4 linked regions of the Saccharomyces cerevisiae S288C genome follow. Changing the gene in region 3 together with the main gene of any one other region gives a genetic interaction. Each region holds a gene or a part of one and is shown on either strand. Other genes may lie near its edges.

Region 1 (5,246 bases), on a different chromosome or scaffold from region 3:
TGAAACCACTAAGCCATTAACATCAACTAGAGCTTTATACAAAACCACAAGAAACAATTCAAGAGGTGCGACAGAATTCCATAAACATGTTTGTAAGTTAGCATGGAAATATCTTGCTTGTATTGATAAATCGTCGATATCACACATTGAAATCGAAATGAAATTTGGTGTTATAACAGACAAAAGGACACATCGCAGGATGACACCACACAACAAGCCCTTTATTGTTCAAAACAGAAATGGCCGCTTAGTGTCTAACGTTCCTGAGCAAATGTTCTCGAGTTTCCAGGAGCTACTCCGCTCAAAATCGGAGAATCCAAGTAAATGTGCCCCAAGAGTAGTAAAACAGGTACAAAAGTATACGAAAGATTCTATATATAACTGCAACAATGCCTCGAAAGTTGGCAAATTAACTTCATGGCGTTGTTCGGAAGACCTTAGAAACAAAGAACTTAAACTTACTTACATCAAAAAGGTCCGGGTCAAGGATTTTCTCATTCGCTATCCTCAAAGTTCATTAGACGCTAAAATTAGCATCAGCCTTGAAGTGCCTGAATACGAAACTTCTGCCGCTTTCAGGAATGGCTTTATTTTACAAAGAACCAAAAGCCGTTCCACCTACACCTTTAATGATAAAATGCCTTTACACTTGGATTTGACAAAGGTTACTACCACGCGAAGGAACTCCCATCAATACACGTCCCATGAAGTGGAGGTAGAAATGGATCCTATATTCAAGGAGACAATTTCCGCTAATGATAGGGAGAAGTTTAATGAGTATATGTGCTCGTTTTTGAATGCCAGCGACCTTATACGTAAGGCTGCAGAACGCGATAACATGTTAACGACATGAAAATGCTAATTAAATACTTCTTTTTGTTCTCTATAAGGTGCTACATGTATGATCTGAGTATATATATATATATATATATATACATGCTGTGCTAGGAATAAGTTCATGTAATATTTTCAGTGTTTTATTGACTGAAATTCACCGATGGGACTTGTTACTACCTGACTTACTCTTATTCCTGAATGGATGAATGTTGAGAATAAATCGTTGGTCTTATCGCTTTCATTATCATCGCCGATATTGTGTCCTTGCTCTTCTTCAACTATGTCCTCAGATAATTCCATGGGTTGATGATAATTGAACATCCCACATGGTGAAGACGGTATTGCCTTTTGCTTTTTGAGGGCTTCCTCCTCTTCCTCTTCATCCAAAACTTCTTCATGAGATCTCTTACTTTGCTGAGTTTCCAGCATGCTAGTAAGCTTTTTCGAAGCTGTAACATTATTATCAGAAGCTGGCTGGTCAGCTGGAGTAGAGAAATTTATAAGCCCTGCCTGAGGTTTTGTATTGTCCGAATCTATTACAGATGCCTTTCTATCTTTTATATCATTATCACATGGGGTGGCATTATTACTATCTGTTATATTTAGTGTCGATCCTTCTTTAATGGATATACGCTGCATGTTTGTTGTCGAGCTTGAATGTGTAAGTTCAATTAAAGGTATAGACAACGAGTCTATTGGGGAGGTTTTGTCAACATCGCTAGGCAAAGATATTTTATTATTTTGCGCTGTTTCCAATTCACTGACATCTTCATTTTCGAGAGCAATGGTGTTACAGGTGTTTGGATCGTTGAGTGTTATAGAAGGCTTCAAATTTTGCTGATTGAGTTGTGATGCACTTGCAGAAGTTGGTGATTCAAAAAAATTGCAATTGAAATTGGAAAACCATCCCATCTCATCTTTAAATACTACATCCGAAAAGTCACTCATGGGGAACTCAGCGTTAAAATCCAAGTCACCTTCAAGCTTGTTCTCTTTACTAGTTATGCTTTGGGGTGGAATATTTTCTTTATCATTTTCACTAGTTAAAGATATCTTACGCCCCTTTTGTTTTTGCTGCAATTTCTGCCCTTCAATGCCTGGTTCCGATAGAATGTCACTTAAAATTGAATCGTCATGATCATTTAAATGTTCTATCACTGATGATCGCCTACATCCTGCTTGTGTAGACTTAGCCGAATTTTTGGAATTCGAATTCTTAACTTTGACAATCGTTTGCTTATCATTTGCTTTTTTTTCACCACTAGTCTTCGGCGGTTGCTTTGGATTTATGTTTATTGAAGCTGGTTTTTTTGCTATCGTTGCTATACCAGGTGACACTTTTTTCGTAGACTTTCTTTTGTTGAGCATAAAATCGAACCTCTTGCTTACCGAATCATCGATCTTGGTCCTCTGAATAGTATTATCGTTTTGCAAAGTATTTATTTCGTAAGCTATGTTTTGATGCTGGTTGTTTTGTTGATTGGCTTCTGTTTTTCTATCTGCTAAGTAGATTTTGTGCGCAATTGAATTTCTTGGGAAACCAGTATTCGCTATATTTGGTTTAAGATTCCAGATGGGTAAAGACTGAGTTCTGACAGCTTTTGGAGCAGGCATAGGATTCGTCTGTCTTCTTCCCACAGTCCCGCTATTAGTATTATTTATTGTTATCGTGGTCCTTGCATTCCTTGAATTTTTTATTTGGTTTGTCTTGAAAAGAGATTGCGATTTTGGGGTAAACGGAAGTGTTGCTGATGGTAAAGAAGACGGCATTTGAAGACACGATATCCGAGAATTTGTAGTATTGTTACCAGACGTCCTTAAATTGGTTATAACTTTTGTGAATCTTAGTTTAACCTCCAAAGTTTCTTCCGGAATTTGGTTGTTTACGACCCTTCCCTTTTTATTCGAGATGTTGCTATATGATCTTCGTAGTAAAGCGGAAACATTCGAGCATACCCTTCCAGTAACTATAAAAGATTCATCTTCATACTCTTCTTCAGTTACCTCATCTCTCTCTTCACTTTCTTCTTCACCAATATTGTTTTCTGTATACTGGTAGGGGCTATTCTTATGAAACTTTTTTCGAAGCCCGGAAAGAAGACCAAGGCTTACTAATGGCTCATCCACTTCACATATGTCACGATAATACAAGTTATAATCATATCCATCTTTTAAAGTGTCATGGTCTAACACTTCAGGTGAATTTAAGTATATTTCATGCAGTATAGTCTTCAAATGGATGGCGCCAATTCGCAACTCCGTTTGCTCATTCGAATCTGTCGGGAATGGACTAGGAATATTAGCAACTCTTACCTGTTTTGGAGCCCTTGAGCGGGCTAAATAACTACCATTGGATCCATTATCCAATGTGTAAAGGATCTTCAATGTCATTTGAGAGAGTTCAGACATTTTACCAGAGTCTTTTGTTCAAGTGAATACCAATTCCAATCCAGGTTTCAGTTGCACCTGGTCAAATTGACTTCAGTTATGTGTGTTGACTAGGTTCAGCTTAAGCGTTGCTTATAAAAGAAGAGATGTAGTAAAGCAACAAACTCACCACGGCTCAGTGCAATTCCCAAGAACCGAACTCTCCATTCAATGGGTCTTTCTCTTCACACACACCTTTTTTCTAACGCGACGCGTTTTTTTTACCTTTTTTATATCACGAAAAAAAACGCGACCGTAAATGAAGGTTTTTCCTTTCATGGAGCAGTTGTATCTATTGAATGAATTATATACCTTTTGCTGGTTTGGTCCTTTCGGATATGCATTTTTCAAATGTTTACTTTAGCGATTGAAGCTCTAACAGTAGCAATGTGATCTTTAATTTTTCAAGGTACCTTTCTACCACGAGCAGTGTACTTTTTTGTTGAGAAGAAAGCGCAACTACCGGCGATGACTGAGATGACTTTGCTCCCAAAAAAAAAATCTATATCTATACATAGTTCTAAATACTCGGGTATTCAGCTCTCCTGGTTCGAGAACTTGTTTTCAAGTTCAGAAGAAATTACTTCTCCCTCGAGGTTATTAACAACTCTATTGACAATACTCTTCAGATATGAATCGTCTTTCTTTTCACCCAAAATACTAACTGTATTGAATCCCATACCAAAATGTGGGTATGAGCCTATTTTAATGGCTTCTGAAACTTTTGTTGATTCATCCTGAATCAACTTTAGCTCTTTAGAAATTTGAGACTCAGTTAGGTGTGTTCTGACAAAATAACGAACATACTCACGTGGATCCTTGTCCAAATTATATATTTTTTTCAACGTGGGAGTGAACGCTTTCAGCATCCTTGCAAATAGTTGAGGGATACCGGGTAGTATATACATTTTGTGAGATATAGAACAAATAGGTACCCACAAGTCATCACACACATAATAATTTTTGACGTTTGTGCCTTTTGGCATGGTTGCCATTTGGTAATGCGCCTTTAGAGCATCTGCATCAAGCCTTGCTTCAGGGTCAGATTTATGCCTCATTCGTTCTTTGCATTCTTCATCTAGTTCACAAGGCAAATTAAAGCTTTTCGCCATACATTCGTAAGTGATGTCGTCATGAGTGGGGCCGATTCCACCTGTACTGATGATAAAATCATAATTTTTGACTAATCTTCTCACAGTATCTACGATCTGGGTTTCATCATCCCCTATAGTTGCAATTTCTTTTAATTGAATTCCATGATCAAAGCAATACTTCGCAAAAAAAGTGGAATTTGTATCAACTACTTTTCCATTCAGCACTTCATCACCAATTATGATACAAGCTGCAGTTACTTTCACCATTATACCCTTGACAGTATATACTTTGCCTCCTTCAGTAATTCTTTTATGTCATTATTATCACCAGTAATGACTGCTATTGTTATATCCCTCGCTCTTTCCTTTTTAGTCTCTCGGGCAGCCATAGTCGTTTTCCACGTATATTTTTAATAGAGAAGATCCTAAAACATTCAGTTAGAGTATTATAGTTAATGATTTATTTTATAAATAGTAAATGCAATTTGTATATAAAACGTACATAAATCAAATAGTAGGTATACGTGACAAATATAAGCGTATTGTCTTTCCTTTTTTTTTTTGGCCTTTTTGTAATTGTGAAATGCGTTTCGGGTATTTTCGACATTTCCCTCTCTTCTTCACTTGTTATTATTACTGTGGGAAGCTCAAATATGAGTATTCGTATGGTCGTGCTTAATAAGAACATCTTCTTTGTAGTTTTGTTGTCCCTTGATATGCTCATTTTCCTCACCATTTTTTTCTTCCACGTATTCAATATCCAGTCTTCTCAAATTCGATACTTCATTGGTTAACACATTACGTAAATGATGTGTCACAATTTCAAACTCGTTAACACCTAAAATATTGCCCCATTTTTGTAAAGGAACTTCCAAGGTTAAATGTCCG
Region 2 (4,052 bases), on a different chromosome or scaffold from region 3:
TTGTTACCGACAGTGTTTGTATTTGGACAGAAAATATCGAGAAATATCGACTGTAGCAGCTCAAACCCGTAATTAAGGCAGTTCAGCGACGTCAATAGAAATGTTAGCAGATTCGCCTTTCTTATGGCAGTAATAATAAACGCTTCGTGGCCTCTCAATATAAGGGGGGGAGGGGAGTTGGGAAACCATAAACCAGGCGCCACGTCGTGAACAGACAGTAACGGAGATCTGGTGTGGTAAATCATTCTGATCTGCTTAAAGAGCTTGACTAACGTTTGAAAAATTTCTGTTTCGCCTGAGCTTAGGAAAGCCGTCTGGTCCGTCAAAACCGCTATAATATTGGGAGAGTTGGCATTAAGGATAAGAAACCTCAGTAGTTGAGTGGAGATATTGTCCAGCAGACATAATGAGCATATGGTCAACCTAGTTCTTGCAGGCAGGCTTTGGATGATGTCATTGAAGCGGTTTAAGCTTTCGTTATTATTGGGCACTTGCGAATCCATGACAAATGGGGAAAGAAGTGAGTAAAGAAAAACTAATGTAAAATGATTTCTGTCGCAGATGGGACAGCCACAATCTTAAATGTTGGCAAGGATATAGGAGCAAAACGCCAATATTGAGATGATTGTTTATTATAATGTTTACAAGGAAGGGCAAAGCATTGAGGAAAATTAGTCGGAATGAGGTCTCGCCGGGCTTCTACGGAAAGGGGCGAAAATTAATAGGGCACGGTGCAGAATATTAGGGCTTCAAATGTTCAGATTTTAAAGCCTTTTCTTCAAATACAATAATTAATTTTACACACTGTACCTTGCATATATAAGAGAAGAGAAATTTATAAACAGTATAGTTAGTTAGTTAAGAATGGAATTTGAATAAAATCATAAAGGAGATATTTACCGAATAAGTAACAAATAGAGAAGGGAGAGATTAAAAAATGAAAATTTACAGTACCGCCAACAAACACTTGAATAAGATTGAAAATTAGAGAGAAAAAAATTTAGAAATAATACAAAATACTAATAGTGATGGGACACAAAAATGAAGAAAGAAAATAGGTTTGATAGTATTGCTATCACCATTGACATTCTCGTTTGGATATTCACTTTTTACGTGGAGAGTTTGACCTTCTTCTTGTTTAGTTTAATAATGCCGGAGGGGCCCTTTGGTTGCACTAACTCGCCGTTTTCAACACATTTCTTGATAGCGCTATTGAACAGATAGTCAAAATTTGAGCTTGTTTTCAACTTGGAGGAGAAAGTGTCCTTGACATACTTCTTTAAAACGATACGGCTGGAGCCCTTACCGTCATTAAGTTGAGGCATGCTTTTAAGGATCATTTCCTTGTAGGTCAATGAAGAAGGCGAAGAGGCCTTCTTGGCGGTAACAGTAGGCGATTTTTTTTTCACTACTTTCTTTGGCGCTAGCTTCGTGGATGCGGCTTTCGCTTTTGATGCGGTTGCACTCACAGAAGTGGCGGCTTGCTTGGGTTTTGGACTGACCTCTTTTTCTTTCTTTACTTCTGGAGATTTCTTCTTGGCCAGTTTCACAGCACCAGCGGGTCCCTTTGGCTGTTCAAAATCGCCGGCCTCCACACCCTTCTTTATGGCATTGTTGAAGTACAAATCAAAGTTGCTTGCGGATCCGACGATCGGGTAGTTTTCCTTGATAAACTTCTTGAGTGCCGGACGACTGGATCCCTTACGTTCCTTCAAAGCCGTGAGCCCTTCAATGATCAACTCCCTGTAACTCTTGGAGGAAGCTTCCTCCTTTTTTGCCGTGGTTTTCTTGATAGCGGCCTTGGAAGTTGATTTCTCCTTGCCTTTGCTGGTTGCAGGCTTCTTGCCCTTACTTGTGGTCTTGGTAGTGGATTTCTTGGGTGCCATGTTGCTTTAGTTGTATTATAATTGCTTCCCTCGCTGCCAAGCATTATCAGGTGCCCATAAATAACAACTCCCCAAATCTATAGTTGCTCCTCCTCTTTAAATAAAGGCAGATAAACAAAAAACTTTGACCGCCCGCTTTTCCACACAAAAAACAAACAACAGCAGAAAACGCGACGCGAAAATGAAAAGCCAAAGAGAACAAACAAAAATCATCCATCAAACCTGTTATTGTGCAGAATAGCTTTTACCTAGACGCAAGTCCCTAGGAGGGGGCATTTTTGACACAGAATAGCATTTCATCAAAGCAAACAGCAACTTCTTGGAGATTTGTATTGCTTGGCATGTCAAAATCTAGCGGTCACATCAGTAGGGTAACAAAATAGCACGTCAGGGTTAAGGCGGCCTACTGCTTAGGGTACGTGGTAAGTGATGTAAAATGTGAGAAGGAGAAACTAGAAAAAAATTTTCCTTTCTTTTTCCTAGCGATGAGATGAGATGAAATTTTTCGAACAAATGATTTTTGGCACAGTTTACATATCAGTTATATTGGCTGTCGTCACAGGAACTACAAGTACAAACCAGAACCATTTTAGCTGATCACCAGAATGACGCAATCCCTAGGTATCGAACAGTATAAACTGTCAGTCGTATCTGGTGGGAAACCCGCTTTGAATAATCTCAGTTCAGTAACCGGCAATAAGAATATCGCCCGCCTATCACAAGACCAACGAAACTATATTATACCCTTTAACAATCAGATCAAGGTGTATTCTGTGGAAACTAGACAATGTGTTAAGACTCTAAAGTTTGCAAATAACTCCTTGTTATCCGGAATATTTCTGCAAGAAGAAGAGAATAATGAATCGATTGTAAAGATTCTGCTGGGTGATATAACCGTTCCGCAACAAGAAGACGCTCATCTGATTACCGTATTCACCAATAATGGTCATGTAATTGTTTTAAATTATAAGGGGAAGCTGGTCGAGTCCCCTAAGCATTTCAAAATCTCTTTGGCAGATGAAAAGCTTGCAAATGTTTTCCATAGCGAGGGCAACTATAGAATTTTGACAACGTTCAAGGACCCTAGTCAAAAGGCACATAACTCTTTGCAATCGTACAGGTTATATGCATTAACCTTTGACGATGCTAAAAAGCAATTTGAAGTGGCTCATCAGGCAGAATGGCACAACGTTATCTTGTCAAATATTTCTTCCAATGGTAAACTGCTAGCGCATATGTGCAAAGACGTCTCAACAAAAGATCACGAACACAAATCCATCTCAGTTGTTTCGCTTTTTGATGATTCTGTAAATTTAAGCTTTCCCCTCGGTTCCATCCTTTCTTCACAGACTCAATCCCTATCCTATAACACAAGGTACGTTTCTAGCATGGCCATAGACAATATGGGTCAACAACTGGCTGTTGGATTTGCCTCCGGAGTTATAAGTATCGTAAGCCTGGCCGATCTACAAATAAGACTGCTCAAATGGCATATAGACTCTGTGCTGTCACTCTCATTCTCTCACGATGGATCCTATTTGCTATCTGGTGGTTGGGAAAAAGTTATGAGTTTATGGCAATTGGAAACAAACTCTCAACAATTCCTGCCTCGTTTGAACGGTATTATAATCGACTGTCAGGTATTGGGACCTCAAGGGAACTACTACTCTTTAATCCTACAAATGACTGAAAACAATTCAAATTCTGACTACCAATTTTTACTTTTGAATGCTTCTGATTTGACCTCCAAATTGTCGATTAACGGGCCATTACCGGTGTTCAATAGCACCATAAAACACATTCAGCAACCAATCTCGGCCATGAATACCAAGAACTCCAACTCAATTACCTCTCTCAATCACTCTAAGAAGAAACAATCTAGAAAACTAATTAAATCGAGAAGACAAGATTTCACCACTAATGTAGAAATAAACCCTATTAACAAGAACTTGTATTTCCCACACATTTCTGCTGTTCAAATTTTTGACTTCTATAAAAATGAGCAAGTTAACTATCAGTATTTAACATCAGGTGTCAACAATTCTATGGGTAAAGTTAGATTTGAACTGAATTTACAAGACCCAATAATAACTGATTTGAAGTTCACCAAAGATGGGCAATGGATGATTACATACGAAATTGAGTATCCGCCAAATGACCTCTTAT
Region 3 (5,288 bases):
GGTTAATATTTCAAGGGAAGCTGGCACTTGACTAAAGAACTGGAGCTGTTGCTTATACTAGTGAACCTCAAATCCAATCTAAATACAGCTAGAAAATTCATTTCTTTTTTCCTCCTTTTTTCACAGGCCTAGGAAGCTTCTTGATCTGCCTTGCGAACAATGGCAACGCGTATCTTATCTCTTGAAAAGTATTTGGTTCTTATTCAGTCATCCTTTGTTGGTTATATAGTATAAGTACATGCCATGACGAAATTCAGGAGTTACTCTGGAGTGTAATGCTGCTGCGTTTTAGTTATAAATAATATATCATCTTAAGGTGATCGATCCAGTGCTTAGATAATAATTCAGTTCACAAATTCGGCATGGAGGACCACCCACGCATTATTGTCGGTTTATGCTATATATAAGTTTAATTATAATTAGGATGAGCTAGTTCGCCAACTAAATATAAAATCAGAGAATGAAAACATTTCAGTGAAAGTTAGTCAATAAAACAGTAATTGGGATCATCAATTGCAGTATCTATTATTAGTATATTCTACTAAGTCCTACATAATATATATTTAACGGTACTACAGTACGGCTCGAGTTACTTAGCTAATCAAGCAATTAAAAACAAGTTTCTGTCAAACAAGTGTATTAAAGGCGAAACTGTACCAGTTATCTGACCTCATTGAAATGAGACATCACCCGCTTATATGTTGGTATCCATAACTGATAATCTTACCAACTATTTAATCGTTACAGTTTCCCATATATAGCTCCTCAAATGCCGCAATATAGTTTCTTCTCAAAACGTCATAAGCAGTTAAATGTCGCATCCGTCTAATGGCCTCTTGAAAAAGGAGGTCAGGCTCCATTTGCAAAGACATTTTCCGCCCACACTTTGACTGCTTTGTTGCATATGAAGATGTTGCTTCAAATTCAGGAATAATGCTGTCATCATACAGATATTGGACAGTTTGGTCATCCAAAAGAATAGGGACACAGGAACACAAAACTGTCATCCGCTCCGGCTCATACTTTAAATTTGCTTCTGTAGGTAATGTATGTAACTTGAAGTCCGCACCTCGTAGGAATTTTTTCTTTATTTGTTTACAAAATTTAAATAAGGTTTTGGCTTTCAGCGGGATAGGATCTTGATATTTTTTGAAGTCATTCCACTTAACTAAATTCATTTGGTCAATCATGGCACGCTGATGATCTTTTAGCAGTGTCAGTAAGCGCGGATCCTTTGGGTTAATCGGTTTTTCCTCTGCTAGGTCGATTAGAAATCCATCTGCTACTAAAAACCTCGGCGAAACATACTCCTCCTCTGTACTAAACTTTTTTTCAGCTGCCCACATATTTTCCATTTGTTTTATCAGAGTAATCAAAAGGTCTTCCTTAATAAGTTCGAGTGTAATTTTATATTCTTCAATGCTCTGGTAATATTCCTTATCAAAGCTAGCCTGCATCTCAGGATTCGCCTGAAAAGTATCCCTTATCTCTTCTAAAGATTGTGTGGTTTTTTCTATGCATATTTTTTCCAACCTTCTTGCCAATTCTTCAACAAGTTCAATATAATTTTTATCTTGACCAGCAGACATCAACAGTAAGGTGACTCTGGACACAGGAAATTTCGAAATTTGATCTAGGACCTCGCTAGAAACCTTATTCACCCTGATATTATTTTTTTCCTTTTGACTATTAAATTGCGTATGCACATTCTCTATTTGAGAAATATCTGCTGAGATCTTTCTTTTTACAACCTCTGCTTCAGTAAACTGCTGTTTTTTTATGTCTGAATAATCCAGGTTGGAGATAGTATTCTCCACAATTGGCTTTTCCCTGACAATAAACCTATAATCGTTATTTTTACTTTTGAATGAATCTGGGGCTGTTGAATTTGATATGGCATATGCAATATGTGTTGCTTTGGCAGTTGTCGTTCTCTTCACACGATACCACAGTGGAGCCTTACCGCATTTTCCATTTTCCATTACTTTACAAAATTTAACAAATACCCTCTTTCCTAATAATTGAAATAGCAGATCATCCTTTACAAAATAAAAATTTGAATTCAAACTATAAAGTATGTCAAGGCTTACCGGATTGTAAGTTTTTCTTAAATGGGCCCATTTTGTTAAGCCAACCTGACTCCTCAAATTGTTATCGTTCCACCTATAGAGCCTCCTTTCATTTAAGTATAGAAGGAAGCCCTCAATTATAATGTATTGATGACTAACATTGATCTCAATAAGGGGATACTCCCGATCAGGGTTTACATCCAATGAAAATTCACATACCCCCGCTAAGGGCTTTTCTTTATCTTTTAGCATCGGATGTATGTACACGGTGCCCCATTTTGGTAAATATAACCTGCAGCATTTACAAGTTAATTTCTTGACAACTTTGTAACGTAATTTGCTTCTGATCCTCTTCAGAATTATTCTTCCATCTTCTAACAAGAAAAACTCTCGCAAAACTAGCTTTATGTGTTTAAATAGTTCCATAGATTTCACTCCAACGAGCACCGAATTAGAATCCTTCTTTAATCGCGTCCAGTCCACCAAGTTTTGTTGTGATAGCTTTTTGTAGTCATCGTCATTGGGTAACAGTAATCTTACTTCAGGACTCCGAAAATTTATTGGTTTTCGCTTCACAGTGTCTACCAGCCATCCATCAATAACTGCAAGCCTGGAGTTGATCTGTAGCATTTTTTTTGATATTATCTTATAATTTTTCAGCTGCTTATAACGACGTGTGATTATTGACATTATTGTTCTCATTCTTATATTACTCAATATACATTCCGGGTCACATGTGCCCAAATTCTCGCGACAAACTTTTCGAGGCCGATATTAATAAACCATAGAAAAAGTACTGATCCTCGAAATCAGAGTTAAAGACTTTTAGAAGATTGGAAGTAAGGAATCCACCATTCGCTTGAGGTTTCGGGTTAGAAATTCTTTGCCTACCATTCGTTGCAAGCCTCTTTAGATTCTGCTTGCTGACTCGCTCGCTATTTGTTCTTTTTCAACAGAAAGCATAGACTTATTATTGTGACTAAGGATCAGTTATCGTTTGCCTGCTCGGGACAATTAAAACGAATATCTCTAAGTTGGATATTTTATACTGTGAGGCAGTTTTTGTACTGAGTTATTGAGTATTAGACAAAATTTCGAGTCCTTATTTTACTCTTCACCTAGGTCCGGCTTCTTAGTTTTGTGTTATTTATCAGGGATATATTTTTTTTTTGGGAGCTCATCGTAGTAAGAAGTAAAAGAGATGACTGCCAGCACATCAGTTGCGGTGGGTTGTGCGGTGGGTATACCCGTCGGTGTAGGTATTATAATAGCAGTATGTTTCTGGTTTAACCTACAAAAAAGATACAAGAGGGAGGAACAAGACGATAGAGAATTGGAAAGGGCTATTTATGATGAAAGTGGTTTCGTGTCCTTTGACAATTTTGGACCCTTAAGAGACAGTAAAGATGAAGCAGCACTAGCCAGCTCCGAGCTAAAAAATCCTGATCACACTTCTGGTTCATCGGAAGGATCTGCTCATCCAGAAGAAAAAGATGGAAAATCGCGAGATCAAGAGAAACCGTTAGGGAAAAAGAATAGTAAATACTATGTGCCAGCATACCGTAGGAAAATAAATTTACTTCAAGTACGAAATAATAACTACGGCAATAATGCCAGGCAGAAGTCCGTTGTGGATTTACCAAGTATAAATAACAGCTCCAATGTTTCCTTATCATCTTCCCAACGGCATATAACAAAGAGACAGATCAGCGTTTATGATCAGATGGTCCCTGTTATTTCTGATGAAGGACCAAACTTTTTCGCAGATCCTTCCAGTGATACTAATACTAGCAATGACCAAAACAAAGCTTCGATGATAGAACTTAAACATAATACTCGCCAATCTAGTAATGAAAATCTGATAAGAAATTTGCAGAATCAGGACTTTGGTTCGTATTACCCAAGGAGAGCTTCATCCTCGTTTTTAAATGGTAACATTTCAAACGCGTCCTTCCATACAAGGAATTCCTCTATAACATCGGTAAATAAGCGCGATGCCCTAGAGGATGTGTTTGCAACACCCAAAAGTGCGGCTCAATCACAGTTACCAAACACTTTTGATAAAGATAACGAAGGAATGGATGCTGACCACTCGGTAAAGGATAGCAGGTCTGCAATAACAGATAAAGATAAGGATTTATACAAATTACAGAATAACTATGATGTGGGCAATATCGGGGAAATTGCTGAGGAAGATCAATACGAAAACGAATTTACCAACTACTCACAGAGTAAGAGAGAGTTCATAGAAAGTCTAAGGCCTAAATAGTACTGTTGATATACTAAACATTATATTATAGTTAAAAAAAGAAGAAAAAAAGAGGAACAATTCTATTAAATTCACTTCAAACATCAAACGTAAACAATACAAACAGAACTCTTCATGGATGATGGGTTTTAAAAAATTAGTCAAGACATAATTCTTAAAGTTCATAGTCTCATTTTTCATTTTCTTTTTGCCTGCTTTCTCTTTTATACATCGCCGCATAATTTACTAAACGCCCTTTGTGTTTGTGGGCGGAAAGAAATATATTCCCTTAAAATTTCCAGGAAATTATGTTGCTACAATGACTTATAAAGGGAAAAAATAAGAAGAGAAATCTTGGAAGAATACCCTAGTAAAATAGTGTACAAGGCAAAGTTCTTAATTATGCAAAATCGCCGTATATGAAATAGAACAACTTTTTATACAGCTTAAATACAGAATTCAAGTATGTTAATCAACATGAAAGAAAAAAAAAAAAAAATGCGAGTCATGAAACTACACGTTTTTTTCAGAGAATATTATCCATCTTGTGCTATGTATAATATACACTTATGCTTATTACAAAACTAATATGTTAAACAATTGAAAGATTTGTGTTTTTTTTCGGCCTTGCCTTCTCAACTAGGATTCAGTGGCAGGACTGACCCATTATCGGTAGAACCTCCTGACGTCATATCATGCTCGCTCGTCTTCTTAGCCTCATTATGCAGTGTATCTGCCTTTTTATCCAACAGTTCGTTAAAAAAATCGTATCCTCCGCTATGGGAACCTAGGCTGCTATCTTCTGTATGTGAGCCAATCCCTTGATGTACCACTTGAGGCTTGGCACCATCATTTTCAGCTGACTTTTCAACTGGAGGATTTGGATTCGTAGTAGCCAAGGATCTTAACGTTTCCCAAAAATCCAGGCCGTCTTCATCTCTCAATGGAGTATCAGATCTGGATGTAGTCCT
Region 4 (4,077 bases), on a different chromosome or scaffold from region 3:
AGAATTTGCTTGCATAGATCTCGCTCTAGCCACTATGTCATTACCATTAACCAATGAGTTCCGTAATTTCAATCTTCGTATTCTTCTTGTGATATCGTTTACCACTGGTGTAGTGTATGGAATTGAGCGGGACGGTCTCGACCTTTTCATCGAATCCGATCGATCCTGTGGGATTGCATGTTGTGACTTTCTCTTGGGCGTATGTAAAAGGGTATAATGTGTGTCTAGCGACTCCATCTGGCCAAATTGAGAGTCGTGCTTTGCTTGGAAGAACTCATTAATATTATACGAGCCCGATTTTGGTTCATTGTTCTTGTCGCCGTTGTATTGTTGTTCGGATTGATCTTTTAAAAATTCAAATTTTGAGCTAGCTCTAGAATCCAGTTCACTTAATACAGAATTTCCTAATCTTTTGGAAACGCCAATAGTCTCGATGATATTGCTATTGTTATTTGAATGAAAGTCTATACTCATATGCGGCGGCGTGAAACCATTAATTTGTGAAGTGGTGTCTTTTTCGTTATGCTCTTCTTGGAGTTTATCATTCATCCATGAAGATAATATGTGTTCTAGAGCTGTAATTGCATGTTTATTGTTTATTTGTTTATACCATTGCCTAGAAACTTACGATTTTTTCATGTTATTTTCCCCTTCCCTCTCTGTGCCTCTAGCCGGCGATGCGCGAAATGTTTAAAGCAAGAATTTCGATAGTAATAAAGAAAATACAACGGCTTTATTGAGTATTTATAAAACGTTTTTTTTTAATTCAAAATACATATACATGAATAAATATATACATATTGAATCATTTTTTTCCCTTTAATAAAAATACAGTTTAAACTAGTAATGATGCAACATTATTCGTTAAGATGATAGTTTGTTTTGTCTGTGTGGGACGTGCGCACGCACACGTATATACTACGACTGCTCCTCTTTGTTATCATGATTCTCTTGAGGTTCTTCCTTCTCTTCCAAGAAAGAAGCAGAATCAGAGCGTTCAGTAACAACAGTGGCATCTCCTTCGGCAGCTTCCAATTTTCTCTTGTAGTTTTCACGTTTCTCAATTTCAGTATTCAGGTTCTTCAAAAGCATGGACTCAGCAAGTTTGACATTCTTAGGAAATTTACTTGTGATTATGAATTTTCTAAAATTTTCGTCTTTATCATCGTCATCCTTCCTTTCCACGACAATATTGGTTTTTGTGAAAGTTTTCAAATTCTTAATTCTGTTCATTCCACGGCCAATAATGGCGCCTACATACAGTTCTGGAATCTTCAATTCGATCCTAGTGTTAGATGAGGTAGAAGGGGAAGTTGGCTCACCGGAGGACTTTTTCAGATGAGGGAAATAAGATCTTTCTGTGCTGAATCTGACGTCAACGTCACTCAAGATGATCTCGCTAATTTCGATAAGTACATTGGTGATGGATCCTGGGAAACCCTGGATCTCGATAATTCTCTCGTCGCTAGCAGGTAAGAAGTCCTTGGAAGCCACGATCTTAACGCCGTGCTTATTGATCAGGGACTTGATGGTGGCGCCTGCTTTCCCGATAATCGATGAGATATGGGAATTGGCCACAATGAGCCTCACATAACCGATGTCCTCCAGTTGCTGCAGATCTCTGATCTCGTCCTTTGAGGGAGCTGGTAAAATATGGTTCAAAAAGTGGAAGTAGTAGTGCTCTTCCGCTTCGCCCTCAGCTGCGTCCTCATTTTCGGGATTCCGTTTGTTAAGCACGTCAACAATATCACCAATGGCATTGGCCACATTGATTACGTTCCCAGCACAGGACAGGATCCTGTCAGAGCAACCGGGCACCTTTTCAGAAATACCGATCTTGACGGCGTTTGCAGCTCTTATGCGTGAGATGGTGGAGCCCTTAGTGCCAATGATCTTGGCAGCCTCTTTCAATGACAGCAAAAGCCTGTGATTGATGGTGGGTTGAGCGGTGGTGCCAACAACGGGGGCGCCGCCAGTGGCGGCGCTGCCGGCATCACTGGAGCCGCCGTTGGTATTGTTTGTGGGAATTGCAACGGGAGTAGCAGCTTCGAAGAACTGTGACATGGCTGGTATATATACTAATGCTGTCTCTAAGTTACCCGATAAGTTGATGCTTTGTTGTACAGGGGACGCGCGATAGGAGTGGGGAGCAATATGCTTTTACTTCGTATGCCAAGTAGTTATATATGCTCGGGTACTTATGCTCCAGATTATAGTCTTGTTTGTTGTTTGGCTGAGCGGCCGGACACACAGAAAAAAAACAAAAGGGCTTTCGTTAAAAGGGATAGGGTAATGTCTAGACTTAGCATAGGGCTAAAACAGAAATAGTAGGGTCTATACCGTTTTTGAAAACAAGTTGTGTAGGGTGAGACTTTTTCTTTTTCCTTTGAGTTTTTCTTTTTCTTTTTACGATTTGTCAGAAATTAGTCGGACGCTCTTGTGGGGTGAGCGCCAGCGCCGCTATAGTATATATAAAGAAGTTGCTGTGCTGGCGTGGACAATAATTGAGTCATTACAAAAAGTGGCGTACATAAAACTACAACAAACCTACAGGATGACCATAGATAACTACGACAACAGTAAACAGGATAGCAGCAAATACGAGGTTAGTGGTACGGGTGATGGCAGGAACGGCGATGGCGGCTTGCCTCTAGTACAATGTGTCGCAAGAGCTCGTATCCCAACCACACAGGGTCCGGATATCTTTTTACATCTTTACAGTAACAACAGGGACAACAAGGAACATCTAGCCATTGTGTTTGGTGAAGACATACGGTCGCGCTCGCTATTCCGTAGAAGACAGTGCGAGACGCAACAAGATAGAATGATCAGGGGCGCTTATATTGGCAAACTGTATCCCGGCAGAACTGTGGCAGACGAAGACGATAGACTCGGATTAGCTCTGGAGTTTGATGATAGTACAGGTGAGTTATTAGCTTCCAAAGCCACTACATGGGACGCCCATAACGACACGCTGGTACGGATCCATTCTGAATGTTACACCGGTGAAAACGCATGGAGCGCCCGTTGTGATTGTGGTGAACAATTCGATAGGGCCGGTAGGCTTATCGCTTGCGACCACGAACCCACAAGCAACATCAAAGGTGGAAACGGCCATGGTGTTATCGTGTATCTAAGACAAGAGGGTCGTGGCATCGGGTTAGGTGAGAAACTCAAGGCCTACAACCTGCAAGACTTAGGTGCTGACACAGTGCAGGCCAACTTAATGCTGAAACATCCCGTGGATGCTAGGGACTTCTCGCTGGGTAAGGCTATTTTGCTGGATCTTGGCATCGGTAATGTCAGGCTGCTGACAAATAACCCGGAAAAGATAAAACAGGTAGATCATGCGCCTTACCTTAAGTGCGTTGAACGAGTGCCTATGGTACCCATACACTGGACAAACTCCAGTGAAGGCATAGACTCCAAGGAGATAGAAGGTTATCTCAGGACCAAGATAGAAAGAATGGGTCATTTACTAACGGAGCCTCTGAAACTTCATACAAACCCTCAACCTACTGAGACAAGTGAAGCCCAAAACCAAAACCGTATGAACTCTGCGTTGTCATCAACATCGACGCTGGCAATATAAACACAAGTGTAGCATAATTATTAGTACATATAGTGCTTTTTTTGTAATGAAACGAAAATACCATGTTATTTTAATGCGTTACCCCGTCGGCGCGTATTGGCGCATTAACATCTTTATAGAAAATCAAATTATTTACTTATTTATTCTAAAACGCTAAACATCTATTTATTTACATTTGAGGTTGAAACTTCCCTTCATCCGATTGACAGGCATATTTAGCGGTAATTATTAGGGTTTTTGGAGAGACCTTGTATTCTTCAGAAATAATGTCGTCCTTCAACAATGAGACCAATAATAACAGCAACACTAATACACATCCAGACGATTCCTTCCCTTTGTATACCGTATTCAAGGACGAGTCTGTACCCATCGAGGAAAAAATGGCACTGCTTACACGGTTCAAAGGACATGTAAAAAAGGAACTAGTTAACGAATCGTCGATCCAAGCTTATTTCGCTGCGTTACTGTTCATCTCCGGCCATTAC

What was found.
Region 1: of SIR1 (region 3) and SPT21, changing one enhances a phenotype caused by changing the other (phenotypic enhancement), as found in Saccharomyces cerevisiae (one study listed by BioGRID).
Region 2: of SIR1 (region 3) and HHO1, a mutation in one rescues a mutant of the other (synthetic rescue), as found in Saccharomyces cerevisiae (one study listed by BioGRID).
Region 4: of SIR1 (region 3) and HEK2, changing one suppresses a phenotype caused by changing the other (phenotypic suppression), as found in Saccharomyces cerevisiae (one study listed by BioGRID).

The regions. Positions count from the first base shown.
Region 1 is NC_001145.3:617,858-623,103, reverse strand, and holds SPT21 (Spt21p), read right to left. Parts: upstream 3,247-5,246; coding exon 970-3,246; downstream 1-969. Other genes in the region: CTL1 (polynucleotide 5'-phosphatase), read left to right, coding at 1-853; FPY1 (flavin adenine dinucleotide pyrophosphatase), read right to left, coding at 3,801-4,625; MMT1 (Mmt1p), read right to left, coding at 5,006-5,246. UniProt on the Saccharomyces cerevisiae protein: Required for normal transcription at a number of loci in yeast.
Region 2 is NC_001148.4:307,719-311,770, forward strand, and holds HHO1 (histone H1), read right to left. Parts: upstream 1,887-4,052; coding exon 1,110-1,886; downstream 1-1,109. Other genes in the region: TBF1 (Tbf1p), read right to left, coding at 1-503; NAN1 (Nan1p), read left to right, coding at 2,492-4,052.
Region 3 is NC_001143.9:637,951-643,238, reverse strand, and holds SIR1 (Sir1p), read right to left. Parts: upstream 2,700-5,288; coding exon 735-2,699; downstream 1-734. Other genes in the region: SKG1 (Skg1p), read left to right, coding at 3,271-4,338; BAS1 (Bas1p), read right to left, coding at 4,953-5,288. UniProt on the Saccharomyces cerevisiae protein: Involved in the establishment, but not the maintenance, of heterochromatic silencing at the cryptic mating-type loci HMR and HML.
Region 4 is NC_001134.8:158,171-162,247, reverse strand, and holds HEK2 (Hek2p), read right to left. Parts: upstream 2,065-4,077; coding exon 919-2,064; downstream 1-918. Other genes in the region: SHE1 (She1p), read right to left, coding at 1-549; RIB1 (GTP cyclohydrolase II), read left to right, coding at 2,555-3,592; STU1 (Stu1p), read left to right, coding at 3,859-4,077. UniProt on the Saccharomyces cerevisiae protein: RNA-binding protein involved in the correct localization of transcripts in the cell. RNA localization is a widespread mechanism for achieving localized protein synthesis.